Linked DNA regions of Lonchura striata. The protein of the gene in region 3 interacts with the protein of the main gene of each other region in a pairwise test. Links are inferred from orthologs where the notes say so. Each region holds a gene or a part of one and is shown on either strand. Other genes may lie near its edges. The genes, in order: WIPF2, WIPF1 and GRB2.

Region 1 (5,178 bases), on a different chromosome or scaffold from region 3:
TTTCCAATCCAAACCAAGCCTCAGGAAAGCTCTGAGCAAAGCAGGAGGAAAACAAGGTGTGAAAAGCTGTCCCTTGGGAGGAGGGAGAGATCAGGAGATCGAGGTCACCCTGTGGAAAACTGCTTCAGAGCTGCTGTTCCACACGCTAGAGCCCACCACGGCCACAGACGCCTCAGCAGTGATTTGGATCAGCACTTCCCTGTCAACCGTGGGATCAAAACATTACTAAATCCCAAGAACTTGACATTCAGCTGCCCCTTGTCCCCTAAAAGCAGCAGGATTGAGCAGATCAGGCCCAGCCTGGGAGACACGCCATGTTTTCCAGACATTTTTCAAGTCCCTGTTTGCTGTGGAGGGAATTGAAACGCCCTCCCCAGCAGCAGCCCCCACCCCGGGGGGATTGCTGCTGGAGCAGGACAGGCAGCAGCAGTGACCTTCAGCCGCCTATTTCCTCGCTTTTCAGGGGGATTTGGGCTCCGGGCGGATTTGTATTTCACATTTGCAAGCCCGAGCTGCAGCGCCTCATCCTCAGGGAGGCTTTGAACTGCAGATCAAGAGGAATTTCCACCCTCTGATGTCGGTGCAGAAATGCGGCCGCACCGGTTTGGGAACGACTTCCAAGGCTGGACCTCTCCAACACCCGCCCCCGCGCCTTTATCTTCCCTCTCTTCCCATCCAAACCCGCAGTTCCTCCTTACCCCCTCCCAAATTCCAACCCTGTCCTCCGCAGCCTGACATTCCTGCCCGCTCCCGAGGAGCTGAGGATGCTACATAAATAATTTATCCTGAGCGACAGCCATCGCAGGATTTAAGGTCATTCAGGCTTTTAAAATCCTATCAGCATGCTTCCCGAGCCGAGCTGCCAGCTCCATTTGGAGCATCCCGCGGAGCCGGCGCATCCCTGCGTGCAGACAGACAGACACGCTCCGGCCCCGCGGGATCCAGACGCTCCCTGTGAATTATTAACGACCCGCGGGCTCTGACGAGGCATTTTTAACAAAAACCCCGAAGTCCAGAGTTTCTAATTCCTCAGAGATGGGCTCCACAGCCTCAGTTTCTCCATCCACCCACAGCTTCTACAACCTGTTTCCCTATCCATCCTCATCTCCCACATCCTCCGTTTTCCTCTACACACTTTCCTTGGCCTCAGTTTCCCCATTCCCAGTTTCCTTGGCCTCAGTTTCCCATCCCCAACCAAGAACCCCTGCAGCTCAGTCTGTCCCTTGCTCCCAGCTCATCTCAGGTCACCCAGCAGAGGAAACCTTTAATCAGGAGCAAGGCGCCCTGTCCCGAAATTCCGCTGCAGCAAAGGGAAAAGCAGGAAAAGCCCGTCCTGCCAGGCCCGCAGCCTCCCCTGCCGCTCCCCCTTTTCCGAAAAGGCAAAAGGAAGCCGGGAAGGGAGAGGTGGCACACGAGGGGCTGGGCAGGGACCGAGGGGCTGGGCAGGAAGCGCTGAATTGTTCCAGAGGGAGGAAGCGGCAGGAGACGCGGGCACTTCCCGGTTCCTTCGAGCCGGAGCTGGGAATTCCGGGTGCAGCGATCCTGACAGCGATCCCAACAGTGGGATCCCGCCGCGGGGATGTGCTCCCGGTGCACCGGCCTTCCCACCCGCGCTGCCTGAGGCACGGTGGTCGGGAACGCCGTTGGACCGGGAGCGGGGAATCCTGGATGCGTTTCCCTGGAGCAGGAGGAACAACTCAGCTCCAGCATTGTCCTGAAAAGCCTGTCCCATCCCTGGAAGTGTTCCAGCTTGGATGGGGCTTGGAACAACCCCTTCCAGTGGAAGATGGGATTTCAGGTCATTTCCAACTCAAGTCATTCCAGGATTCCACGGAACTCTGTGTCCATGGTTGTCCCTAAGCCACTACAGGCTCCAAAAAGTCCACCCCTCCCTCTGTACCCCAAACAGGGTCGTCCCCCCCGTCCTGACAGGCCCCAGAGCACGCCCAGAGCGGGGGTCCAGGGGGTCCTGGGAGGAGTGGAGGAGTCCAGGGAGTCAGTTTGGGGTCCTGGGAGTTAGTGTGGAGGCCCCAGGGGTCATAGAGGGGGTCCAGGGGGATCCTGAGAAGGGTGGAGGGGTCCTGGGTAGACGCAGGGGTCACACTGGGGGTCCCTGGCTCCTGGTCCTACCGGTTCTGGACAGCCCCAAGGGGGTTTTGGGGAGTGGACCCTGAGGTGACCCAGGAGTTAGGGGGGAGGGGTCAATGGGGTCATGGTGGGGGTCTCAGAGGCCATAGGGGGAGCATCAGGGGACACTCTGGGGTCAGAGCCTCCATGCTGGGGGTCCCTATGGTGGGACCCCAAGTACTCAGCCCCATCATTTCTGGGCGCCCCCAGGCTGGGGGTCCAGGGGGTTCCTGGGGAGGAGTGGAAGGGTCAGAGGGGTGCCAGGAGTCACAGTGGGGGTCCCAGGCCCCTAGTCCTGCCAGCTCTGGAGACCCTCAGGTTGGGGGTCCTGGAGAGGGGTCCCTGAAGTGACCCAGGGGTCAGGGTGAAGGGGTCCAGGGGTCAGTGCAGGGATCTCAGGGCAATCCCACAGGGGTCAGGGTGGAGGTCCCAGACCCCTGGCCCCGCTGGTTCCAGCCAAGCCAAAGACAGGAGCCCAAGGAGGGGCAGAGAAGTCCAGGAGGTCAGGTGGGGATTCCAGGGGGTCCTGCCAGCTGCAGGCACACCCAGGGTGGGGGTACAAGGAGGGTCCTGGGTGGGGGGGGGGGGTCCCACACGTTACTCAAGGGTCAGGGTGGAGGGGTCAAGGGCAGCACGGGGGTCTCAGTGGAGCTCCAGGGGACGGCTCTTAGAGGAGACCGAGAGGTCAGAGTGAGGATCGCCATGGTAGTGGGGTCACAAGCCCCAAGACCCGCACGTTCTGAGCACACCCAAGCTGGGGGTCCAGGGTAGTTCTGGGGAAGGGTCCCGGACGTGACCCAGGGGTCAGGAGGTGGGAGATCTCACAGGCGGCGCAGGGGTCAGGGTGGGACGCTCCAGGGGCTCCATGTGTGGGGGCTGCAGCCCCCCGGCCTCGCCGCTCCCTGTCACTCCACAGCCGGCCCCGCGGTCCCTCCGCCGGCCCCGGGCACCCCCCGGATCCGCGCAGGCCTCAGCGCACCCCCCGCCCCGCCGGTCCCGCGCTCGGCACAGGCCCCACGCAGCCACCCCAGGCCGCCACACCCCGCACAGGCGCCCCGCGGCCGCAGTCCCGGCCCCCCGAGCCCCGCCAGCCCCGGCCCGGCCCGCCGGTCCCCCCCGGCCCTCCCCCGCTCACCCGCGGCTCCTCCCGGCCCCGGCCCCAGCCCCGCCGAACGAAATGGCGGCCCCGGCCCCTCTGCGCCTGCGCGGCCGCACCGGATGCGGGCGGGGCACGGCGGAACGGCGGCGCCATGATGAGGAGGTCGGGTGGCTGTGAGGGACGCGCCCGTCACCGCCGTACCGGGGAGGGCACGGCGGCTCCGTGAGCACCCAGTGCCGCGGTGTGCCGGTGACCGAAGGCAGAGCGGCAGCAGCGGGAAGAAATTCCCCGCTCTGTGCCGAAAGGAAGGCCCCGGTGCTGCGACAGAGCACGGCTACGCCGCCTGTCTCACCCACCCCTTCCGCCATATTGAGGAGGTCGGCTGAGCCCAGCGGCCGCCATAGTGGGAGGGGTGGCGGAAGCCTTTTGTGGCCGCCATGTTTAGAAGGTCAAATGTTGGCTCGGCGCTGCCGCCATCTTGGGAAGGTCGGCTCCATCCCCCGCCCGTGACGTCACTGACAGCGAGGCAGTGACGTCACTCCCGCCATGACCTCAACCCCTAGCGTGACGTCAGAGACAAGTGACCCCAACCCCTAGCATGACATCAGAGACAAGTGCCGGGACAGACTTTTATTGGGGCTCCCCGCCCCATCCCCAGCTTGGCTTTTTTTTTTTTGGCTTTTTTTTTTTTTTTTTGCCTTTTTTTCCTCCTTTTTCTTAAAAAATAAATGTACAATTCCGGACAGCGGCGGTACAAAATATACACGTCTGGCGGGGGGAGGGCCACACATACAAAAATAGAGGGGCTGAGGGGGGGACATGGCCACCCCCCTCCAGGGGCCCCTGTGCCCCAGCCAGGGGAGGGGGCAGGGGGAGAGGGGTGCGCCGGGGCGGTCCCCAAACCAACCCCCCCCCAAGGGTGGGGGCAGCACCCAAGGGCCGGGGCTGGGCAAAGTGCGTCAGTGCTGGGGGGCTCCGGGCCCCCCGGGGGGGTGCCGGGGTTTGGGGGTCCCGGGGTGGGCCCCCCCTCACTGGCTGCCAGGCTCCAGCTTGTAGGAGAGCTCGAAGAGCAGGTTCTGGTTGTCGATGACGCGCAGCTGCCGCACGTAGGCCTTGGTCTGCAGCTGGGCTGGGGATGCCTCCAGCTCCAGGCCTGGGAACGGCCCCAGAACAGGGATGGAGGGATGGGGTTGGGAATGGGAATGGAGGGGATGTGGGGATGGAGGGGATGGAGGGGATGTGGGGGATGTGGGGGATGTGGGGATGGAGGGGATGGAAGGGATGTGGGGATGGAGGGGATGGAGGGGATATGGGGATGGGGGGGATGTGGGGATGGAAGGGATGAAGGGGATGGAGGGGATGGAGGGATGGAGGGGATGGAGGGGATGTGGGGATGGAGGGAATGGAGGGATGGAGGGGATGAAGGGATGGAGAGGATGTGGGGATGGAGGGGATGTGGGGATGGAGGGGATGTGGGGGATGGAGGGGATGTGGGGATGGAAGGGATGAAGGGGATGGAGGGATGGAGGGGATGGAGGGATGCAGGAAGGAAATTGGGATGGCAACATGAAAGTGGGGATTGAAGGACAGAAGAGATGCAGGGGATGCGGGTGAAGAGACAGGGACGGGGATGGAATGGCCACATGGGAATGGGGATGTGGGGACAGGGATGAAGGGATGAAGGGATAGGGATCCAGGCATGCAGGGGTGCAGGGTGAAGGGATGAGAGACGAAGGCGTGGATGAGGGATGGGCATGCGGGGATTTAGGGATGCAGGGACATGGACAAAGAGGTGTACAGGATGCTCTGGCCACATTCCCATCCCTCAGGGCCAGCACTGCCGGTTCAGGGCCGTGTGGGCCTCCCCTGCAGTGCCCCCCTCACCCCTGCAGTGCCCCCCTTGCCCTGGCACTGCCCCCTCCCCGTCCCCCCACTCACAGAGGGGGCGGCTC
Region 2 (5,178 bases), on a different chromosome or scaffold from region 3:
CACCATGACTGCCACCCCCCAGTGCAAACCCCACAGCCTCTGTACCTGGTTACCAGCAGGAGATGCTTGCATAGAATAGGAGGTCTGGTCAATTCAGTCCAGAATACACTTTCTGAAGTTAATTAAATTGCAATAACATTTCCCAAGTTGCACAATCCTGCAAGGAAGAAAGGAAAAGAAATATTAATTGTGAACTGTTGGGGATCACAGAGCCTGAGCATGTGTTCATTATGTATTTCCTTGAATAAGTAGAAATTCTGCATGAGAAAATGGCAGCATACTGCAAAGAAGTGCTTCCCTCCTTCTAAAGGGCAATCAGAACAGGAAAACACACTGGCTGGGTTCTCCTTATTGCTCACTGAGGCCAGAGGACCCAGTTTATTCTCAAACAAATTTAAGACCATTCTTCCAACTTCAGCATAGCATACATACTATAGCAAAAACCAACATAAATGGTGGAAGGAAAACAGAAAGGCATAAAAAGCCACGGATGTGATGGCATGACTGAACAGAGTTATCCACTACAACAGCTGCTCCTAGTAAGAGATATGACTCAACAACTAGCTTTGTAATTAGGAGGTTTCTGTAGTTTAGGCTAGAGAAAAACACGTGCAAAAGCTGAAACAAATGTGTGGGGGAAGAAAAGGAGAAGCAACAGCCTGGAAGATGTGAGCTGCAAATAATGCCCCCACAAAAAATACACTCGACCAATTGATGTATTCAGTATTAGAACCAACAAAATAAAATTTTTAAAAATCAGTAATTTTGAAATAAAATGTAAGAACAGTAGCCATTCAGCATTTTACATATTTACTTATATTTAGAAATCAGTTTCAAGACCCCAGTCCCTCACAGCCATGCAATCTTTGCATAAGCTATGTGGTGAAATGCAACCCACAAGGGGATTCTGCTATCAACTCTCTGAAGCTGGTCTGTGCACTTCCGGTTTGCTTTAGCTGGTGTTGCACATTTAATTCCTACTTTTTCCCTTGCAGAGAGTAGAATAACCCTGTGCTATGGATCCAAGTGGACAGAAGTTCAACAGTGCAATGCAGCCATGTTGTTTCTGGGGAGTAAAACCGGCCAGTGATTCAGGTGAGTGATATTGAGTGGTTTATTCTATTTATTTGCAGAATTAAAGATTCTTTAATGATGGTTTAATCTAAATTTGAAGCTCCCTCAAATCAATAAACTGCTATATTAGCATTGCTGAAGGGAAAGAAAAAAAAGCAAACCATTTAAAAAAACATACAGAAAAATGAATTTTTCTTCCATAGATAATATACGTACAAACACACGTACACAGTCTCTCCTCCTTCTGAAGTGCAGCAGAAGAATATCCTTTGTTTCTTAAGAAGAGAATTTGTCCCCATCTGGTTTCATTTTTTTATTATTTTCTCTTTTTTGTTTCCTTCTCTATCATTCCAATGCAATTTTAATTCATTTTGTTTAGTCTGTACTTTTTATTCCCTTTCCTCTTTTTGCAGATTTCCTTTCTAATTTGTTAGAGGAAGAAACATTCTTTCCCTGGTTTCCATAATACAAGCTGCTGGAAAAGGCCCATTCAGAAATCCCCCCTCTTCAACAACTCTCTAGCTCTTTCAATCCTGGTTGCCTACATTCACTCCTGTTAGCAGGGTAAAACTGTTAGGGCTTATTTGTTTAGGCATGTGTGTCAGTTTATTTTTTAACTCCATTTCAAATACCTGGCACAAACCACTGCATGGAGGCTCAAATATATTATTTACGAGCCATTACACTTAGCTTAAAACAACTCCTAATCTATTTGAGATGAGTCGCTATAAGACAGGATTAGGCTGAAATGAAAATGTCTGCAGTGGGATTTTACTAAATTGCTTTTAAATCACTGTCCTAGTTAAACAGTGCTCCAGTGAAGACTATAAACCCTAATACATCAGAAAGGTTGATTTGGGGCAGAACTCTGGCTCCCTGAAAACTTGCTGGTTTTACAGAAGCAGAGGAGCCCAGCTAAGGCCAAAGCCTTCTCTGCGTATAAAGCCCCAAAGCACAAAATACGAGAGCAAAGCTCTGCAAGGCTGAGCCACAGAGCTGTTTAACTGCCCAGGAACAGGGCCCTGCTATTCCCAGCTTGCCAGGACCCTCCATGCCCTGCAGCAGGACCAGGTGCAGCATCCAACCCCACGTGCAGGAGGCGGCAGCAGCCTGGCCCGCCACGAGCCACTGCGCTCATCGTGCGCAGATGTTTCTACACTGACCTCAGGATGAGTGCTCAGGTGGTACAAGGAGGGTGAGAGAGCTGTGAAACTTAGTCTGGTTTTCTACGTGACCAGAAAAATATTTTTTTACTATTCGGGAAGATGTATGGGCAGCTGTAGGACTTCTTGCCTGACGCTCAGATCTGATTTTAATGCTTGGCATGGCCTTGTCACAGCACTGGCATCCCCAGCAGCAGCTGCATTTCCTGTGAGATTGCTGCCACCATCCCTGTCCAAGCCCCTCTACCTCACAAGCTGTGACCCTTGGCTAGCAGGGGACTCTGTGCAGAGAGAGCTCCTTGGCCTCCAGCCACCACTGCTGGAGCTGGCTGTGGAGCCATCACCTCCTCTTCCCCACACTCTCCCAGCACCACGTGGACTCCACACTGCGATTTCATTTTAGTTCAGATTCTGTGCATTTACTATATTATACATTTTATTATCCCGAAAGTTCTTTTCTTCGTAACTTTCACTCCAACTTTGCATTTCAGATTTGTAATTAATCACAATTGCATAGTATTTTAGAAGTAACAAATCTATATTTGTGCCGGGGTAAAAAACATAGATCCCATTAAAGAGTCACCCTCTGAGAACTCCCAAATTCACCAGCACCAACCTAGCTTCATTTCATTCCTGATGCAATGTGCTCCCAAGTTGAAACACTCCAGCACAGAAAAGTGCAATTTCTCAATAGAAATCACCAGGAATGAGAGAACACCTTTAACAAGAAACTGTGCCAGTAAAATCAAAGAGAAGAGCCAAAACAGCCAAAACAAACTAAAATAAATGTTCACTATAGTCAATTATTTTAACCTCTACTTGGAAAAGTGCTTTATAGTATTTATTAACACTGAACACATCTATTAAAAATCCAGACCTTTAACTTACTTTATGGAAGTCTTAAGATGGAGAAGATTTCATCCACACTTCTAACGTGACTCAGGCCACACTTCTGCTGTACTGCAAGGCAGGCTCCAAGATTTGCACAAGCCAAGCTAACTCACAGATGAGCTTCCTATTTTTGCGCTGTAGAGTTCTGCTCGGAAATCCCATGCTGCTTACTACCCGCTACACAACTGCCATACAGAGCACTCCTCAGCCACTGCTGCCACAATCCAGTGAAAATACATGTGCAGAACCCCTGCAGGACAGCTAAAGAGATGTTTTAAGAGAACTAACCTGTGCTATTTGAATGTGTTGGAGGTCACCCAGTTCTGAACTTCCCCAGCAGCTCCTGTCTCGTTTCCTGTGGAGGAGCATGTGACACACACTTCCTCACCGCACCTTGCTAGACTCGCTTTGCTTGCATTTTAACATCAGATGAAACAACTAACTGTCCCTCACAACATGTTAAAGAAATTTCTGATCTAATGTTGAACCACTGACATTTCTGCACAGCCAAAAAGCCCTCCTCTACTGCCTTCTGAGTCACTCCGTGATTCAATAGACCTTTTTGTACTGTATATTAATACCAAATGCCAAATGTGATTCTGCCACAGTCTACTCAGTGTGCCAGGCCCCCTTTAAAAAAAGGGGAAGCAAATGCAGTAGTGGAGAATGTAATTACACTGCAGGCGTGGGAAATTTCAGTTCAAGGGTATTTGTTTATCAAATGTTTGGAGTGGTAGTGAATTGATGAATTCAAACAGATGCAGTCATCAGCAATTTTCAGAAATACTTTCATTTGAATACAGTAAACACAAGTTTGAGTTCTATGAAAAGTAGTTTATGTATTCAGAAGAGCAGAGATTTTCTCAGTTGTATCAGTGTGCATTCACATATTGTTATCTAGCACTGGACAAACAGGTCTGAACACGCCACAAAAGGAAGGACAGTAAAGTCCTCTACTAGAGTACTATGTTTAGAGGACTAGTCAATAGGTGGTGCTTTATCATTTTTTTAAAGACACATAAATTTTGGAAAGGCAATCTAACCCTGATTGCACCACCAGGTGCACTGATACAGCCTGGAGATAAAGTTTGAAGACTACCACATCACAGTAGAGGCAGAATGGTCACACCAGAGTCAGCAAGGAGATACTGCTCTGCTGTGAGATGGTCCTTGTGGAAAACACTAAATACACATCAATCAAGCTAAGGGGTGAAGATAAAATGCTGCATTCCTTTATTTAGTAACAGAATGCCTGGGGAACTGATCAGCCTGGCAAGGCCTGGGTGAAAATAGTGGGTTACAAACCCAGAGGGTTTCCATTACAGACTGACTGCAAAGATCTTTGCTGGGGCATAGATTGCTTTAGCTGCACCTAAGTGCAAATGGGAAAACCTTGAAGGTAGGAAGAGAATGAAGAGACAGTGATGCTGCAAAATTTGGGAGGGAAACGGTTTTGGCAGCCACAGTCATTTGTGGCTGTCCTGCCTCCATTCAGTTCTTCCACTGCATCCCTCAGTTGCTCCAAGTGTGTTGGCACAGTTGTTCCACAGGCTGTGCCACGGACCACACTGAGAAGCTGATCTAGAGGTCAAAAGCTCATGAGATTTTCCCCCCTTTTCTCACTTTCAGGCAAAACCAGACAAGTGCTAGTAGGAAGTTGGCTCTGCCACTACCCAGGCTGTCACACAAAACCATGGCTACAGTGAGAGACCAGAGCAAGCCAATCGGAGCTGCTTCTTTTCCCATGGGTAGATGAATTCTATGCAATTTCTACATAAATTAAGAGGTTTCCACTGAAATGTCATCTTTATAATTAAACTGTGCCAAATGAAGACATCAATGTTGTGAGCAGCCTCCTGGTGACCACCAGCCAGGGATTACATTCCCATCTGCTGCCTCGGGGCTTCTTACCAACACTCACTAGTTCATTACTATCAAATGAGCCAAAGTAGCTCCAGTAATTTATATCAGTGGGTTAAAATAATTGGAAATGGAGTAACAATGGTTTTGAGAATACCTCCTATCCACAGAGATGTGAGAAGAGTCATCA
Region 3 (3,600 bases):
TTTATGCCTTTATCAAAGGATTGAGGCCTGATGTTTACCTGAGCAACTGCTTTACTGTATAATTAAGAGTATTTTCAAGCTAAAAGAATGTCAGGAGGGTCATCCATGCAAACCCTGACATTAGCTGCCTGTGCAATCTGAATTTTTGTCTCTGTGGATGCTGTAATTGCCATGTGTGATTAAACTATTTGTTCCTACAGCATGGGTGCCTTAATCACTGCTCAGGAGAGATGGCAGTTGTCAAGGAACGGCTCACCAGGTGTGTTCTCTGCTCTGAGCTTTGGGAGCAGCTCTGCACGCCTCGGTGTCTGCTCAAACACTGCCTGGACAAGCTGGGGTGCATCTCTGGTAGTTAGAGAATTTCTAGATCAATTCCTCCTTGCTGGCTCCATGGTGTAGCACATGGCCCTGTCTTACAGAGAAGTGGAGACACTGACAAATTAAGCAAGTATTGTGCACAAAGCCAGCGTGATTTCTCCTCCAGAAACTCAGGGCCTCCTCCCCAAGGTGTTAACAGAGCCTCGATAGCAGAATCACAGACTCAATTTGGTTGGAAAAGACCACGGAGACCAGCGAGGCCAACCTGTGATCCAACACCTCGAGACCATGGCACTGAGTGCCAGGTTCAGTCTTTCCTTAAACACCTGCAGGGACGGTGCCTCCACCACCTGCTGGGCAGCCCGTTGCAGCGGTTCATAACCATTTCGGTGGAAAAATTCTTCCTGATATACAACCAGAACCTCCCCTGGCGCAGCTTTCACGCTGCGCTTTTGTCCTATGGCTAGTGGGCTGGAAAAGCCCGAGCCCCGCCTGGCTACGCCCTCCTTTCAGGTACCCGTGGCGGCCGGTGCGCGCCGCGCCGCTCGGCCGCCGCCTGTCCCCGCCCGCGGCCGGGGCAGGGCAGGTCGGGCCGGTGCTGCGCACGCGCGAGGCGTGCCCGCGCTGCCGGCGGGGCGGGGAGCGCGCAGGCTCCCGCGGAGGGCGCTGACAGCGCGGCTCTCGCGAGAGCTGCGGCGGGACCGGCGGCGCGGCGGGCGGGGGGCCGGGCCGGGGCCGGAGCGGCGGCTGAGGCGGCGCTGGAGCGGCGGCCGGGCCGGGCCGCGCGGGGCCGGGCAGGCGGCGGGAGCGCCCAGCGCTGCGCGGTGAGTCCGGGCCTGTGCAGGGCCGCCGCCCGCCGGGGGCCGTGCCGGGGCGGGGAGCGGGGAGGGCGCACGCTGAGCCCCCGGTGCCGCGGCCTGGGCCCCGCGGTGCTCCGCTCTCCTCGCTGCGCTCCGCCTCGGCGCCGGCCCCGTGTCCCGCCGGGCCTGGCCGGGTCGCGGGGGGTGGAGAGGATGCGGGCTCTGCCGGTGGGGGGGTGGTGGAAATGAGCTTTGGGCTCCAGAGGCGTCATCTGCTCGGCGAGATTCCCGGCTCGCGTACGGGCAGCACCGGGCGGGGGTCGCTTTTCTCTCTGCTCTAGGGCTGCGGCGTGTGGCTGGTCGTGGTTCTTGGGGCTTACCTTTTGTATTCCCCAAAACGAGTTCTGTAACTTAAGGCCGCTTCCAAAGGTTAAAATGCTGCAAGTACCCTGTAGGCAGGATAACATCCCTGCTACACTGTCTCCAAACACGTTTGGGGTCATGCTTCAAACGTGCGTTTCTGTGACGGAGAAGGACATTTTTCTCTTGGCCTCTTCCTTCTCTTCTGAACCTCCTTCTTCAGAACCAGTGCTGGTTTTGTGGGACAAGGTTTGACTTGCCAATATAGTTTCAAATAATCTGTAGAAGACAAGGATGCAGCCTTGTTAACTCCCACAACATCTGACTCAGACACCTCTTTTATAACCTACAGTGAAAACTATTCTGTAGCACAGTTAGTAACTGCAAGAGCAATTCACAGATACAGTGCTTAGGGAAGTTAATTCTTTGTTTCAAAAATTATTAAATGCCTGGGGTCAAGGGACAAAATCTGAAGGACCACAGATGGTTAATCAATCTTCAAACACAGTGTTGTTTGTAATCCATTTCTGTGCCAACTTTGGAAATTTAGAATTTGTGCCACAAAAAGACCTTTCAGTTGTTATCATCTCTTAGGTTGATTGTCATGCCATATTTGGGTGTTTCATCATACCAGCTAAGTTTGTAACTTTTAAAGCAGTTTTACAATGTTTAAAATAAGAAAAAAAAAAAAAAAAAAAGAACTGCCAGTAAATAAATTCTGGCAGAGGTGAAGTTTTCTGTGCTTTGTACTGTAGCTTAGTTTTGTAAGTAATATCTTGAGTTGTCTGGTGCTGAAGGAAGTTGAATCGCATTAAGCTGGTAGATCAGGGGGATAATTGTGATCCTGAATGTTCTGGGGTTTATATGTTAATAATCTAATTTATATTTTACTTTGTTCCTTTATTATGTTATACTTCCTTATTTGGTTAATTTGAATTAGTGTTCTGCCCTTACAATTTTAACTTTCTATTCTTTTGTCTAGAGCCTGACACTTGCATTTCTGCATGTCTTCCCGATGATGTATGCACACATTTTTCTTTCCAACACCCTCAATAATGTTTTGTCCTAAAACAGTTGATGAAGTTGAGGATCTGATTCTTTCCAAAATCTCCTAGTGAATCTATCTTGCCTCTCTTTGGCTTTTCTAAACTGTCTGTTGTTCTATTCCTGCCTGTATCACTTTCCAGAAGAGCAGTAAAACAGTGAAAAGAGAACAATGAGAAAGCTCTCTTTTGTTTAAAAACCATGCTGTTTCTAAGAGTAATGAAAAAAGCTCACCTTTGCCTGTGTGCTTTTTGAAATATCTGTTGAAGTGAGCATGAGAATTGTTTCCTGTTGGCCACTACAGGGAGGTTTGTATTTATAATTACTTTTATTCCATCCTGAGCTGCAGCACTACTACTAATGAGCATTTACTGTTGGCTGCATCTGCTGCCTTTTCTTCCTCTTACCCCTCCCAGTATTTTTAAGAGCAAAGGAAGTCTTAACCCAAGTCACAGTAAGGTGAGAAACACTGATATTTTGAGAAGTCTTAGTCATTTCTCTAGCAAGATCATCTGAAAATTTTTGTAACATGTAATCATTGTATTCATATATTGGCTGTTATTCATTCATACCAGTCTTACTCCACTTGCAGTCTGTGGACTGGGTTCACTGCAGTAACGTGTCCTGTTGCACTGCTCTCTGCCTGAACCAGATACAGCTGTGCTTTTTTCCCCACTCACGCAGTTGGCTTGCTCATGTTTTAATAACAGCATGGCTGAATGTGTGTAAGAACTTATTTAATAATATTGTAAGCAGCAAATGCTTCCTTAAGAGAATTTAAGGGAATTATGCCTTGGCTTTACCTTTCCTAATATTTGCTGTGTGAATATCTTGGTTTAATATTTTCAAAGCTTTTCCCTCTTTCAGATACAACTTTAATGCCTAAACTTCAGCTACACTTTTGTCTAAAGTCAGGAAAGTTAAAGTTTTGCTGCACACTGCAGCTGCTGTTAACATTGTTACCTGGAAACATCACTCCTTTGTATGCTGACAATATATCTGATGGTGGTAGTAGTACTAATGCATGTTTAAAGAGTATTGCATGATGAATCTCTTTCATCTTGAATTGTGCTGGAAA

The links.
Region 1: the proteins of GRB2 (region 3) and WIPF2 interact in binary tests that used the Homo sapiens proteins (3 or more experiments, as listed by UniProt). The link is inferred for Lonchura striata from reciprocal best matches to the Homo sapiens genes GRB2 and WIPF2.
Region 2: the proteins of GRB2 (region 3) and WIPF1 interact in binary tests that used the Homo sapiens proteins (3 or more experiments, as listed by UniProt). The link is inferred for Lonchura striata from reciprocal best matches to the Homo sapiens genes GRB2 and WIPF1.

Annotation. Positions count from the first base shown.
Region 1 is NC_134627.1:6,966,704-6,971,881, forward strand, and holds the start of WIPF2 (WAS/WASL-interacting protein family member 2), read right to left. Parts: upstream 3,314-5,178; 5' UTR 3,263-3,313; intron 1-3,262. Other genes in the region: RAPGEFL1 (rap guanine nucleotide exchange factor-like 1), read right to left, coding at 4,255-4,379, 5,165-5,178. UniProt on the Homo sapiens protein: Plays an active role in the formation of cell surface protrusions downstream of activated PDGFB receptors. Plays an important role in actin-microspike formation through cooperation with WASL.
Region 2 is NC_134610.1:21,547,240-21,552,417, forward strand, and holds the start of WIPF1 (WAS/WASL-interacting protein family member 1), read right to left. Parts: upstream 3,517-5,178; 5' UTR 3,417-3,516; intron 158-3,416; 5' UTR 46-157; intron 1-45. UniProt on the Homo sapiens protein: Plays a role in the reorganization of the actin cytoskeleton. Contributes with NCK1 and GRB2 in the recruitment and activation of WASL.
Region 3 is NC_134621.1:5,254,990-5,258,589, forward strand, and holds the start of GRB2 (growth factor receptor-bound protein 2), read left to right. Parts: upstream 1-1,098; 5' UTR 1,099-1,142; intron 1,143-3,600. UniProt on the Homo sapiens protein: Non-enzymatic adapter protein that plays a pivotal role in precisely regulated signaling cascades from cell surface receptors to cellular responses, including signaling transduction and gene expression.